3 linked regions of the Canis lupus familiaris genome follow. The protein of the gene in region 1 interacts with the protein of each later gene in a pairwise test. Links are inferred from orthologs where the notes say so. Each region holds a gene or a part of one and is shown in the gene's direction. Other genes may lie near its edges.

The links. The genes of interacting proteins can lie anywhere in the genome.
Region 2: the proteins of TK1 (region 1) and UNC119 interact in a two-hybrid assay, tested with the Homo sapiens proteins (2 studies listed by BioGRID and IntAct). The link is inferred for Canis lupus familiaris from reciprocal best matches to the Homo sapiens genes TK1 and UNC119.
Region 3: the proteins of TK1 (region 1) and CRMP1 interact in a two-hybrid assay, tested with the Homo sapiens proteins (2 studies listed by BioGRID and IntAct). The link is inferred for Canis lupus familiaris from reciprocal best matches to the Homo sapiens genes TK1 and CRMP1.

What each region holds. Positions count from the first base shown.
Region 1 is NC_049230.1:3,864,610-3,868,809, forward strand, and holds the start of TK1 (thymidine kinase, cytosolic), read left to right. Parts: upstream 1-1,400; 5' UTR 1,401-1,470; coding exon 1,471-1,536; intron 1,537-1,684; coding exon 1,685-1,716; intron 1,717-2,693; coding exon 2,694-2,804; intron 2,805-4,200. UniProt on the Homo sapiens protein: Cell-cycle-regulated enzyme of importance in nucleotide metabolism. Catalyzes the first enzymatic step in the salvage pathway converting thymidine into thymidine monophosphate.
Region 2 is NC_049230.1:42,729,470-42,733,678, reverse strand, and holds the start of UNC119 (protein unc-119 homolog A), read left to right. Parts: upstream 1-1,409; 5' UTR 1,410-1,485; coding exon 1,486-1,711; intron 1,712-4,209. UniProt on the Homo sapiens protein: Involved in synaptic functions in photoreceptor cells, the signal transduction in immune cells as a Src family kinase activator, endosome recycling, the uptake of bacteria and endocytosis, protein trafficking in sensory neurons and as lipid-binding chaperone with specificity for a diverse subset of myristoylated proteins.
Region 3 is NC_049224.1:71,649,435-71,653,474, reverse strand, and holds the start of CRMP1 (dihydropyrimidinase-related protein 1), read left to right. Parts: upstream 1-1,240; 5' UTR 1,241-1,246; coding exon 1,247-1,627; intron 1,628-2,741; exon of another isoform or gene 2,742-2,965; intron 2,966-3,052; exon of another isoform or gene 3,053-3,226; intron 3,227-4,040.

The sequences.
Region 1 (4,200 bases):
CCCATGAGAGGGCGGGATTCTGATTGCAGGAGTCACGGCAAAGAAACAAAGGTCAGGAGAGAGGAATCAAAGGTCAGTTTGGAAATGCTGGTGAGTCAGACCACCGAGACACAGAGGTGAGGTGGAAGGAGGGACTACGGGGAGAGGATCTCAGATGTCAGGCTAAGACACAGAATTAATGCAGAGAGTAGCAAGGAACCAGGTTTGGGAGAAAGAGCTCAAAGGCAAGGAGAAAGAGTGAAGCCTAAAATGGGAAATTTTAAGACGGGGTGGCTTCATGGAAGGGTCCTGGGCTCTGGTGTCAGATGGGTTGAATGCCATCCATGTTCTATCCCTTACAGGCTGTTTTACCCTGGGCAGCTTACTTATGCTCTCTGGGCCTCAGCCCCATCTACATAATGGGCATAATAGTAGCATCACAAGGTTGAAGGACATAAAGCATGTAAATGAAGTAAAACTAACCATTCAAATGTGGGTTATGGCCCCCTCCCGTTGAACGAGGTGCCTGACCAGCGTTCTTTAGATCCTGTACAATCTGTGCCTGCGGCACATAGCGGCACACGCTGTCACTGCTACCGTCATCTTCCCTGTCGTTATGTACAATAACAATAATGCAATGGGTTTCTGACACAGAGAGAACGGGGTTTTCTTGGGGGGGGGCGGGGGCAGAATGCATAACTTATCAGATTCTCACATGTATCCGTGACCGGAAAACAAATAAACCAACCCAAACCAACCCAAAATACAGCCTGAAATGCAGGGAAACTAGTTAGGAAATCATAGTTGAGTGATAACCCTAGTAAGTGCTTTGCCTGTCCTGCGGTGAACGCCGGCCTTTCCGAATCCTTCACCCCGGCACATCCTCCATCCACGTTGTGGGACCTCAGTGTCGGGACTGTGCCTCCTTTATGGATATTAGCACAGCCTGTTTTCTCTACCCTGAAGACCAGGCGCCCCGAAGCCTGCCTGTGGCCAGAAGCAAAGGAGATGCCGGCGCTAGGGCTTTGGGAGCGGCGCACAGGGGCCGCCGGCGCCCTGGGGGGCTGGGCTCTGGGTCTCTAAGCTCGCCTCCCCGAGGGGAACGGCCTCTAGGCCCCGCGCGCCCCGCTCGGCGCAACCCGCCTACCTCCTTGGACAGCCGCTTCCAGGGCGCCGGGCCCTCCATCCCGCCGCGGCCGGCCAGAGGGCGCGCCCCGGCCCTTTAGAGGCCCTTTAGAGGCGGCGGCCGGGGCGGGGCCGACCGTCCAGGTGACGCGAGCCCGCCGGGTCCCCGGGGCCGCCCACGAGGGGCGGGCCGCGCTCGAATCTCCCGCCAGTCCGCGGCCGCGCGCTGATTGGCTGCGGGGCGCCCGCGCCGGCTCCCGATTGGCCAGCGCGCCCGGGATAAAGGCCGGCGGCGGGGGCACCCGGGTCAGGCTGCTGGGCGGTGGCACCCGAGGGCTCCCGAGCGGCGGGCTTCGTGCAGGCGCCATGAGCTGCATCAACCTGCCCACCGTGCTGCCCGGCTCCCCCAGCAAGACCCGGGGGCAGATCCAGGTGCCGGCGCGGGGGTGGCACCCCGGCGGGCGCGGGTGGCGGGCCGGGGTCGCGACCCGGGTGCGGGTTGGGGTTGGGGTTGGGGTTGTGGCCCTGGCCTGCAGTCCGTGCGCAGCGGGCCCCGAAGTGACCTCTCCTTCTCTCCTAGGTGATTCTAGGACCCATGTTCTCAGGAAAAAGGTAAATAAGTAATGTCCTCGCGGGGACGGCCTTCTCCCCCCTCCCTTCCGGGGGCCCGTCCTCCTCCCCTGCTGCCCCTCTCAGTGCCCCCCTGCAGGACGACCCCTCCCCCGGACCGAGCACGCGTTCCCGCCCCATGCGGTCCTGCAGGAGGGCGCCTCTTCCCTGCCCGCGGGGTTCAGACCCTTCCATGGGGTCATGGCACCACGTCGCCCCCCTGCAGCAGGTTATGGCTGCTGAGGGTGTAGTCCTCCCTCCCCCCACCCTCCCACTAAATCTCTCTTGGAAAGGAGCAGCCAAGTCTTTTCGTTTCGTTTTGGTTTTTTTTTTTTCAATTTAAAATTTTAATTCTTCTAAAATGGTGTCCTCGGTGAGCTGGGTCCTGTGCACCCTGCAGCATCCACACTCCTCCTTCCCTTCCTAGTGTTTGTTTCCTTAAGTAGTTTACACACTAAGGAGTCAGGCCAGGATGCCTTTGCTCCCCTGATGTGACAGGACGGTGGCCTGACCCAGGCAGGGCTAGTCGGCCCCCTGAGTGACGCCCTCTGCCCTGGGGGGGGTCACTGCAGGGCAAACCTGGTGCCCACCACAGTCAGGCCAGGGTGGGCTCTGGGACCCAGAGGTAACTGCTTTTTTTTCTTGAACAACAACAACAAAAGACTGCGAAGTCAATGCAGACCATGTGAAGACCTCTGGGATGGGACTCTTTGGGGATGCAATCCAGACCCCTCTTCTCTGTCGGAGGCCTTTGACTCTACTCACCCCATCAGATCCCTGAGACATTTATTCTCCCACCCCCTCCCCAGACCACCTGACCTCTGTTCCTTGCCATCACCACCCTCTGTCCTCTCTGGTTTTTCTGTCCATTGGTGGGTCTCAGGCTGTAGACCCCCAGCAGGGGTGGGGGGGGAGCCCCACTTGTGCTAATGGGGACTTCCTTAACATCCTGGGTCTCACCTAGTGCTCTGCTCTTGCAGTACCGAGCTGATGAGAAGGGTCCGTCGCTTCCAGATTGCCCAGTACAAGTGCTTGGTGATCAAGTATGCCAAAGACACGCGGTACAGCAACAGCTTCTCCACGCATGACCGGTCAGTCCCTGTTCTCTCCTGTCCTGTCCCAGCACTTCTTCCGGAAACCTGGTGAAAATGCGCAAGGGCATAGGCCATACTGTCAGAGCGCTCTTCAGCAGGACTGGTTAGCCATGCCGGTGGGCGGCATGGAAACGTGCAACTCAGCAAACTCTCAAGGTCGCTTGGCAAGGGATCTTAGGACTTGGCCTCTCACAGAGTTCTGGCCCGGTGTTCTTCACAAAGGGAGATTTTGTTCCCCCTCTCGCTCCCTCAGAGTCCATTTGGCAATGTCTGGAGACATCTGTAGTCTTCACAGCTGGAGTAGGGGAGGGCATGCTATGGGCATCCAGTGGGGAGAGGCCAGGGATGCTCCTGAATTCCCAGTGCACAGGACGGCCCCCACAACAAATACTGACCCTGCCCCGATGGTCAATAGTGCCGAGCTTACATCTGTGCTGTTGCAAACTGGTTTTGTTTAGCGTGCATGTTGCTTTTCATTTAGCTTTTCAGTTGTTTTATCTTGGTTGACTCTGTTGTCTTGTGGCCTTCATGCTTCCCAGTTTTGTGTTTATCTGCCTGTGCCCTGCACACGTTTCAGTCTGCAACCTGAGGTCGGGAATGAGAGGTTGAGTTTAGTTTTACTCTTGCCTGTTCCTTGGCTGCAGATTTCTGAGCCTGAGATGTTACCTCTTTTGGACTTGTCCGCCCGAGCCGCCAGCGGCAGAGCCACGCTGTGCCACAGGGAGGGCTTGCAGCCTCAGGACTGCCCCGTGTGTGGCTTTGGGGTGGGAATGTGGGGTTTCTGAAGCCGGGCGGGTGGTGGGTGGATAGTGTCTAGGAATTGGAGTTAAAGCATCAGGATGTGAGTGACTGGTGCTTTCTGCCGTGCTGCCCTATGCAGGTCATTTAGGTCTTGCAGTTACTTCTTCCCTAAAACATGTGTCTGCTTCTGCTGCACTGGCCAGGGGCACATCCAGGGAGGGCAGTGCGAGCAGAGGAGGCCGCATTACGCAGTGATAAGTCAGATCAGGGGCATGTCTGAACTTGGCCGGAGCCGCACACATGCCCTCTCACTTGGGCCACAGAAGCTGAGACGGGCCATGGCTGTGACTCAGCCCTTGGCGGGAGTGACAGGGCTCCAGAGATGCTGCCCTTGCCCACCCTCTGGTTTTCTCTGGCTTGGGGTGGGAAAGGGGAATTTAAAATGCAGGAAATACCATCTCCTGCTCTTGCCAGATCTTGGAGTAGACTTATAGCAAGATAATAACTGAGCAGTGGTTGTATTTTATTTTTTCTAAATACAGCTACAGGCTGCTGAGCCTTTGGAAAGTACCAGCCCCCAGGGGTACCTGGATGGCTCAGTTGGTTAAACGTCTGCTTTTGGCTCAGATCGTGATCCCAGGGTCTTGGCATC
Region 2 (4,209 bases), about 39 Mb from region 1:
GTCTTATCTGGCTTGAAATTGAAGGCCCTCCCCTGTCTCCCTCCAGGGCAGGGACAGTTTGTTGTGCTTCTGTCCTGTTCCTTGCAGTCCTCTTGCACTCAGAGGGAGCATTAGGGGAAAGCCCTGGGTCAGATTCTAGCCCCTTCCCCTCCATGCTTCTCTCCAACCCCTCAGGGAGAACCTTAGCACTGCTCTCACGGAAGGGAGCAGGTCACCCCTGGGACCTTCTCCCTTCCTCCCCTCCCTCCTGGCTGGCTGTGCCTACTGGGTGTAGCCTGATGCTGCGCATGTGGCAGAGTTTCCCTTCACCCTTTTATAGAAGTAGTGTGGTGCAGTGGAGAAGGTTTCAGACTTGGGATCGAGCATGCCTGAATTCAGATGTTTCTGTACCTTCTGCACTTATCATCTGGGGAGCATTGGATAAGCCTCTTAATCTCCCTGAGCCTCAGTTTTTCACTTGTTAAAATAGCACCAATGATATCTCACAAGGTGGTTATGAGGATTAAATGTGATAAACATATGAAAGTGTCTGGCACATGGTAAGCTCTCAATAAACATTGGTTGACTGAATTGAAATGATATGAAGTATGAGCAAACCTTTCATTCTTCATTTGTGTCTAAGTAATGGTTTCCTAGTATCTGACCTGGACTCACAGGTCTACCTTGCTTCCACCTGGCCATGCGCCCTACAAGGAGGCTGTGCCTCTCTGCCCTGTGGGCCCTGTAGTGAAGTGCCTAGGCTGTTGTCCCTCAGCATGTCCAGGGTTTCACAACAAAGCTGTTAGCATATACTGCTTTTTTTCGCAGGAGGTCTGGAAGACAATAGCTTGTACCAGTGTAAGCCCTCAAATACTCATTCATAAACTCAGAAAAAGAATATGTTAAGCACAGGCTGCAGTAGCCACTGTGTTAAATGCTAGGTATTATAGAGAACAAAGACAGGATCTCTACTTTCATGGAACTGATCTTTTGGGGAAAGAGTCAGTGAACAAGTAAAATTAATTTCAGATAATGCATTAGAAGGAAAAAACAGGCTGATCAGACAGTGACTGAGGGGTAGTACTTTAGATTGGGTGTGAGGGGGGCCTTTGAGCAAATGACATTTGAACTGAGACCAGAAGAGGAAGCCATCTGGGGGAAGCACATCCCAGGCAAAGATCCTGAGGCGGGAACTTGCTTGAGGGGCAGACAGAAGGACAGAGTGGCGCGAGTAAGGAAGAGAGGTAGTGATCCCTTCAAGGACCTAGCAGGACCTAGCGGAAAAAATGAATGAAGCCCAAAGCGAGGCCCCACCCGGCCCCGGGGGAGTGGACCCAGGTTGGCGTTCGCAGGGGTGGGCGGGGCCCGTGCCTGGCCCACCCCCGGGGGCGGGGCGGTACCTGGGGCCCTGGCCGGGGGCGGGGCTGCGGACGCTCCCCCTTCTCTCGGCTCCAGCCGGCGCAGGCAGCTGCCGCGGCAGCAAGCGAGCGGTGGCCCCGCGAGGCCATGAAGGTGAAAAAGGGCGGCGGTGGGGCTGGGACGGGGGCGGAGCCCGCTTCTGGGGCCCCTGGCCCGAGCGTGGAGCCCAAGCCCGAGCCGCAGCTGCAGGCGGAATCCGAGTCCGGGTCCGAGTCAGAGCCGGAGGCTGGCCCGGGGCCCAGGCCGGGGCCGCTGCAGAGGAAGCAGCGGATCGGGCCAGAGGACGTGCTGGGGCTGCAGCGGATCACGGGCGGTGAGCACTGGCGAGGCAGCGCCGCCCGCGGCGGGAGGGCGGGAGGGAGAGCGCGCGGGAGGGGGCACTCGCTGTGCGCCGTGCGCTGAGCCTGGGCCCCCGCCCCCTTTCCCGCCCTACCCCCCACTCCCGCCTCCCCTCCCCCACCCGGGTACCCCTCGCTTGAATCCCCTACCCTTCTGCCTTCCAGCCTGAGATCTCCTTGTACCCGCCTTTTCTCCCTTTAGATATTTATTTTCACCCTACTCCTATCTTTCTGAGGAGGCCATCCCCCTTTCCCATGGTGGAGGTGAGGCAGCAGCTGCAACTGTGACCCCTTCCTCATAGAGTCTTCCGAGCCCTTTGAGGCTTTTCTCTGCAATAATGAGGATGGATGCTGAGTGTATTCTGTCCTCAGTCCTCACCCTGGAGGCTAGGAGGAGGCTGAGCTACTTAGGTGACCTTAAGACCCTCCAGTCGCCCTGATCATTAAATGCCGTCACTCCAGATTACCCAGAGAGTCTGGGGCCATCCTCCAACCCCAGGAAAGGACTGGGCAGGAAACCTCAGTGGGTTGGCTCTGGGCCCTCTCAAGGGAGTAGGTTAATGCCCTCCATCCCCCTTAACCTGTCTTCTTCCGGGAGGCCTAGTCTCCCACTGTGGTTAAGTTTCTGAGCTGAACTGCCTGGGTTGAAGTCCCAGCTATGCCATGTAATTGGCAGTGTGACCTTGGGTGAGTAATTTCACCTCTGAGCATGTTCATCTGTAAAATGGGGGATAATGGCACCTATTATATAGGGCTGTTGTGAAAACTAATTTTCCGATTTTGCATAGTGCCTCGCATGCTGTGCATGCTCTGTAAATAGGGCTCTTTTGTCAATAGTACTGAAGGCCCCACAGGACTGCTTATGGCTGCTGCCTGGAGGCAGATAACTGGGCATTCAGGACAAGGGAGGAGGTTGCCAGGCAGAGAACAAGGGCTACGAAGCCTCATGGCAGAGGCAGTGGCTGAGCCTCAAAAACAGGCATTTGGAGAGAGAGTGGTCCTCCAATGTAGTTTCATTTATCAGAATCCTGCACTGGCCCCTCTGTGAGAGCACTGTTGAGACCCCTCTTTGGTGGAAGGGGGCAGGTGCTGGAGCAGACCTGAGCTCTGGAGCTGCAGGAGCAGCAGAGCCCAAGGCTGCCAGACAGCAGTGGAGGGGACTGTAATGGCAGGTCTAGGCCTGTGCATCTGGGTCCCTGGGGGACCAGCTTCTCCTCTCTGAGCCAGGCAGCAGCCATTCTTGGCGGGGCCCCCAGAACACTGAACTGCCTCGCCCAAGCAGACACTAGTAGAGGGAGGGGTCCTGGACCAGTTTGATGGTAGTGCCAATTGAGCTATAACTGGCAATGGCAGCATTTAGAATGAGGGCAGAACTTATAGGATGTTTAGAGGTCAAGCTGACCTGTCTGGGTCTTAGGTAACTTTAGAGACTATTTTGTAACTGTAGGGGCTTCCAGCCCATGTACTGCCATGTGTCTCCTAATTTGGAGGAAATCCGTAGTCCTTAGAGATGGGGCATCTGTGGGAGATGAGTGGGGGAAGGGGCTTCATGGGAACCTTTCCTCTATAGAAGCTGAGACCTGGGTTCCAGGGATCTCCATCCTGGCACCCCCTGGTCTCTTTTGACCCTAATCACACAGGTCTGAGGTTTGTTCTTCCTGGATTACCAGCCCTGAATCCAGCTTAGGAAGCTATTTGTAGCAGAGGGAAGGGGCGGGGGGGGGGGGGGGGCAGTTTTGTTCTGAGCCTTAAGCCACTCTGTCCCTTTATCTGCCCTGACCCCGGGCAGGCTTCATCCTTCCCTTGGCAGAAGGGAGGGTGTGGGTGTGGCATTCTGAGCAATGGGCATCCCACTTCCCTCACTTCTTCTAAGGACAAAAGGGCTGCTTATTCAAGGTGTAGTAGAAGAGACTGAGGGCGGACTCTAAGCACTCATTCCTGCATGACAGGAGAGGCTCCCAAAGCGAGAATGTGGAGAGGGAAGGGCTTTCCAGGGAGCTGGAGTCTGCTCCTTGTGCCCTGCACCTTCTCTCTACATCTTGGGACTAGTGCATACATTCTGTGAAAATAAGGTGTGTACAGGGTGAGGTCAGGGCTGCCCACATGTGTTCCTCTTCCTCTCTCCCCACTGTGGATTGTGGTGGACAGGCCAGAGATCAGGCCCTTCCCCAAGCCCTGCTGGACCTTAGGGTGCCAGGAGGCTCCCGGGAGGGCTTCCTGGAGGGGGCTGCCCCAAGCTTAGGGAAGAGAGAGTGACCTTACATTCACTTCCTCTTCCTGCCCCAGAGGAATAGGAGGTGGCCTAGGGGCCTGGTGGGTGATTTCCGGGCCTCTATGGGGAGGATGTGATGCTGTGCAGGCTGATAGCACCAGACCCAACAGTGTTTCTTTCTGTTTGTTGCCAAGACCTCCCTGAGCACTTGTAGTTGCTGGTGCAGAAGTGAGGGGTGGATCAGGCCCTGATATTCCTAAG
Region 3 (4,040 bases), on another chromosome or scaffold:
GTGACTGACAAGTGTGTACCTATGTGTTCATCTGTCTCTGTGTGTTTTTCTCTGGAGTGTTCCTATTTAAGCTTCAGACTCTCCTGATTTCTGGTGTGCATTTCCACGTGGGTATCCTGACTGGGTTTGCCAGTGCATCTGCGTGGAGTCACCCTGTGAGTTTACCTTTGATAGGAGTGTGTGACAATCTCTCTGTTGCGTGAGTGTTGTAGGAGCAAGCACGGTGTGTGTGTGTGTGTGTGTGTGTGTGTGTGTCATTCGTTGGCGTGCAGGGGTGTATTTCTCTTGTCTGCCTGAGTGACTGTGGTCCTGGCATGTCCCTCTTGCCTTGCTGTCTCATCTTTCCCAGCACTCAGCACGCCGGGTACATCATACATGTGTTTGTTTCCTCCCTCCTCAGAATGTCAGCTCCCGGAGGGCAGGACTTGGTGTTATTTTGTTCACAGCACTGTCCCCAGTACCCACAGCGTGCTGGGCACCAGCGGGCGCTCAATATAACACTGTTGACTGAATGGTTGCTGCGTGCAACGTGTGAGTGTTTCTCCGGTTGTGCGATTAATTTCGGTGTGATGCTGGATTGGTGGGGTTGGGGGGACTATGAGAACTTCTGGCGTGGGTGTGTGTAATTGGCTCATAATACATACAAGCTTGTACGTGTGTGCAAAAGTGTCTACCATGTGACTGAATGAGCCTGCGTGTGCCTGGGAAGCCTGAGTGTAATCGACTCCCGTGTGCGTGTGTGCGCGCGCGCTAGCGTGTTGGTGCATTTCTCACGTGTGTTATGGCGTACTTGTCTGGCGTGCTGGTGCGAACCTGTGCGTGCCTGGGGGTGTGTGTGTGTGCGTGTGCACACTCGAGGCTCGCACTCCTCGCCCTCCGCGCGCCCCGCGCTCGGGCTGGGGGCGGGGAGCGGGGGTGTGGCCAGGGCACTGCGGCTCGGCTGCCCGCCCCCGGCGCTGCGGCTCCGGCGCGTCACCGGCCCGCCCCGCCCCGCCCCCGCCGCCCGCCCCGCCCCCCGGCCCTTTGTAGCCGGCCGCCCCGCGCGCTCGCCGCCGCCCGGAGGCCCCGCCCCGCCCCGCCCCGCCCCGCGCCCCGCCCCGCCCCGCCCCGCCCGCCCCGCCCCTCCCCGGGCCGCAGTCGCCGGGGCCGCCGCGGGCCCGCAGCGAGCGGGGAGCGCGGCGCACGGCGGTGGCCAGGGCGGCGGGCGGCGGGCGGGCGGCGGGCGGGCGGGCGGCCTCGCAGCGGCATGGCGGACCGGCGGCGCGCGTGGAACACGGAGGACGACCTGCCCGTGTACCTGGCGCGGCCGGGCAGCGCGGCGCAGACGCCTCGCCAGAAGTACGGCGGCATGTTCGCGGCGGTGGAGGGAGCCTACGAGAACAAGACCATCGACTTCGACGCCTACAGCGTGGGCCGCCGCGGCTCGGCGCGCACGCCTCGCAGCGCTGGCCGGCCCGACGCCGTGGGGCTGCCGGGGCCCGGCGGCAGCGAGGACACGGCCAGCGACGGGAGCGAGCTCTCGGGCTCGGCAGTCAGCTCGCCGGGCGAGCGCGAGGAGCGACCGCCCGCGCTGCGCATCCGTTGCCCCGCGCCCCGCGACCTGCCGCTCGGCCGGGACAATGGCCAGGTACCCTCAGGGCGCGCGCCGACCGGCGGGGGGGGGGGGGGGCGGGACCCTCGGGGACGCCCGGGCCGCTGCCCTCGGGCTCGAGAGGGCCGCGGAAGGCCCCTCCCCCGCTCCATCCCACTGGAGGGCCCGAGCGGGGCTACCATTTGGTCGGGGTTGGTCAGCCCAGCCCGGGAGACTCCAAAGGGTCCTTCGCGATCCAGCCCCCTGCTGCTCTTCTGCAGAAAGGGGGAGCAAGGCTCTGAGCAGGAAAGTAAGTTGGCTACAGCTGCCACATGGACCCTTCAAAGCGAGGGGACCTCTGGGGTGAAGTTTAATCCAAGGAGCCCCGTTCTTTGCCTTTTGAAAAGAAGGGGAACTGCTTTCCGCATTAGTCCATTCATTTATTCACTCACTCATTAGTGATTATAGAGCCCCTACGGTGTACCAGGCTCTGGAAAAGGTTCAGTGAACCGCCTGTGGTCACACAGGTTAATGCTCAAAGAAGCCTTTCCTGTGTGCTCCCTCTGTGCTTTCTGGGGGGAAAGATTTGCTTAAAGATTTGGATGGGTCGGGCACATAGAACTAGAAACTGCTATCCCCAGGCACCGACATTTTCAGGGGATGCTGCTGAGTCGCCCAGCACGACGCCAGTGGGCTCCCTTCACAGAGCAAGTTGGAGGCAGAGCGGAGACTTGAACCCGGCTCTCCAGCTTCCTAGACTTGGAGGTTTTTACCCTCCGAAAGTGAAGGGGCGTCAGAGAGAGGGAATGCCAGGCCGTGGGCCCTATGGCTCTTCTCCCTTAAGCTAGAGGTCGCCAGGGAATTGGACGAAGATGGATGGGTAGACAGCACAGCTTTGGGATGTGTGCGTAAGGGTCGGGGTCAGATGCTAGAACAACGGAAGTTGGAGCACTTGAGGACCAGCGAGCTGTCAGCTTAGCCCAGAACTCGAAGTCTGAGCACTGCTCAGGTCCCAGCTCCCCCCCTCCCCCCAGTACATGCTGGGGTCCCGACTCAGCACACTGGCCCCACCCCAGGCCAGGGTGGGCGATAGATTCATGGTGAGAATCAAATCAGTTAATGCCGGTACTCAGTGAGCAATAAATGTTCGTTGTTGGATTTTACTATCATTTTTTATTGCCCCTTCTCCCCTTAAATACTATGAGAGGCATAAAGTGAGCGGGAGGAAGCAGAGCTCGATCCAGACGGAAATCTGGGAGGGCTTCCTGGAGGAGTGGGGGCTGGGCCGGCCTGCGGCTGCTTGGACGCAGTACGGGATCTCCTGCTCCCATCCTCGGGCTCTCGGCCTTCCGCCCCCGGAGCTCGGGAACTCTCCGTGGTCCTGAAGTCGGCGCCCTGAGAGGGGGAGGTCTACACTGATGGCGGTGGGGGTGGGGGGAGGTCAAGGGAGGGGGCTATCGGGAGTCATCTCCTTGTCCCTACCCCTTCTTATTCTCCCTGACCACTTGCTTCCCTCGTGGTCGACCCTGTTTGGGGTTCAGGCTTCTGAGCGCGAGCGGGAGACTTCAGGGCTGCGGATCCAGATGCCCGGGTCGGTACCGGTAACCCCTGTTTCCAGCCGAGGCCCTTTGCCCTCTTGAACCTCAGCTTCTCCACCTGTGAAATGGGGATGGCATTTTCCTCCCAGCCACCCACAAGGCGTGGTGGAGGATCAGGGAGGCGAGAGCGCTTTGTGCACGTCGGGAAGCTGTCTGGAAGTGCGTCCCTGCCGGAGCTACGGCCAGCGGCCCCGGAGCCAGCATCGCCCCCGGCTCTGCCTGCGACGGCTCCGCAGCCGCGCCTAGGCACTTGGGGGCGGTGGTCGCTTCACCTCTTCCACTCTTCCCTCTCCCCTTCTGGCCCTCTCTTCCCTTTCTCCATGGCTTCCCGGGGACTGGACAAAAGGCGGCGCCTGCGGCGCGCCTAGGGCTCCGGAAGCTCTGGAGGTTTGGGACTGCGGACACGAGGGGCTCACGGTCTCCCAAGGGGAAGCCTTTTACTTTCTGCGGACCAAGCGGCCACGGGGCTCGGGTTCCGGGGCGGGCTTCGCGGCTCCAGAGCTTTGCAGAGGGCACGGGGCGGGGGGTGGGGTGGGGGCGGGAGCGGGGGTCCTCCCCCCGCCCAGAAAGCTCTCTCCCGGTGAGGGAGGAGGAGTTTCTGCGGCGCAGGCGCAGCCTTTGCTGAGGCCGGAGGCCCCGCGACTGCGGCGCTTTGTACCCGGGAAGTCTGCATGGGAGCAGCGATCTGTGTGGCCAATCGCGGGCCGGTGCCCCTCCCCCGATACGCACGTGGTCTCGTCCCCAGCTCTGGAGCTTTCCTGCCCAGACTGACCCCCGGGGACGTCCTGGTGCGGAACCCAGGACTTAACCACGCTGAGGAAGGGAATGGGGGCGGCATGGGACCCGAGACTGGCAAATTCCGGTCATCAACG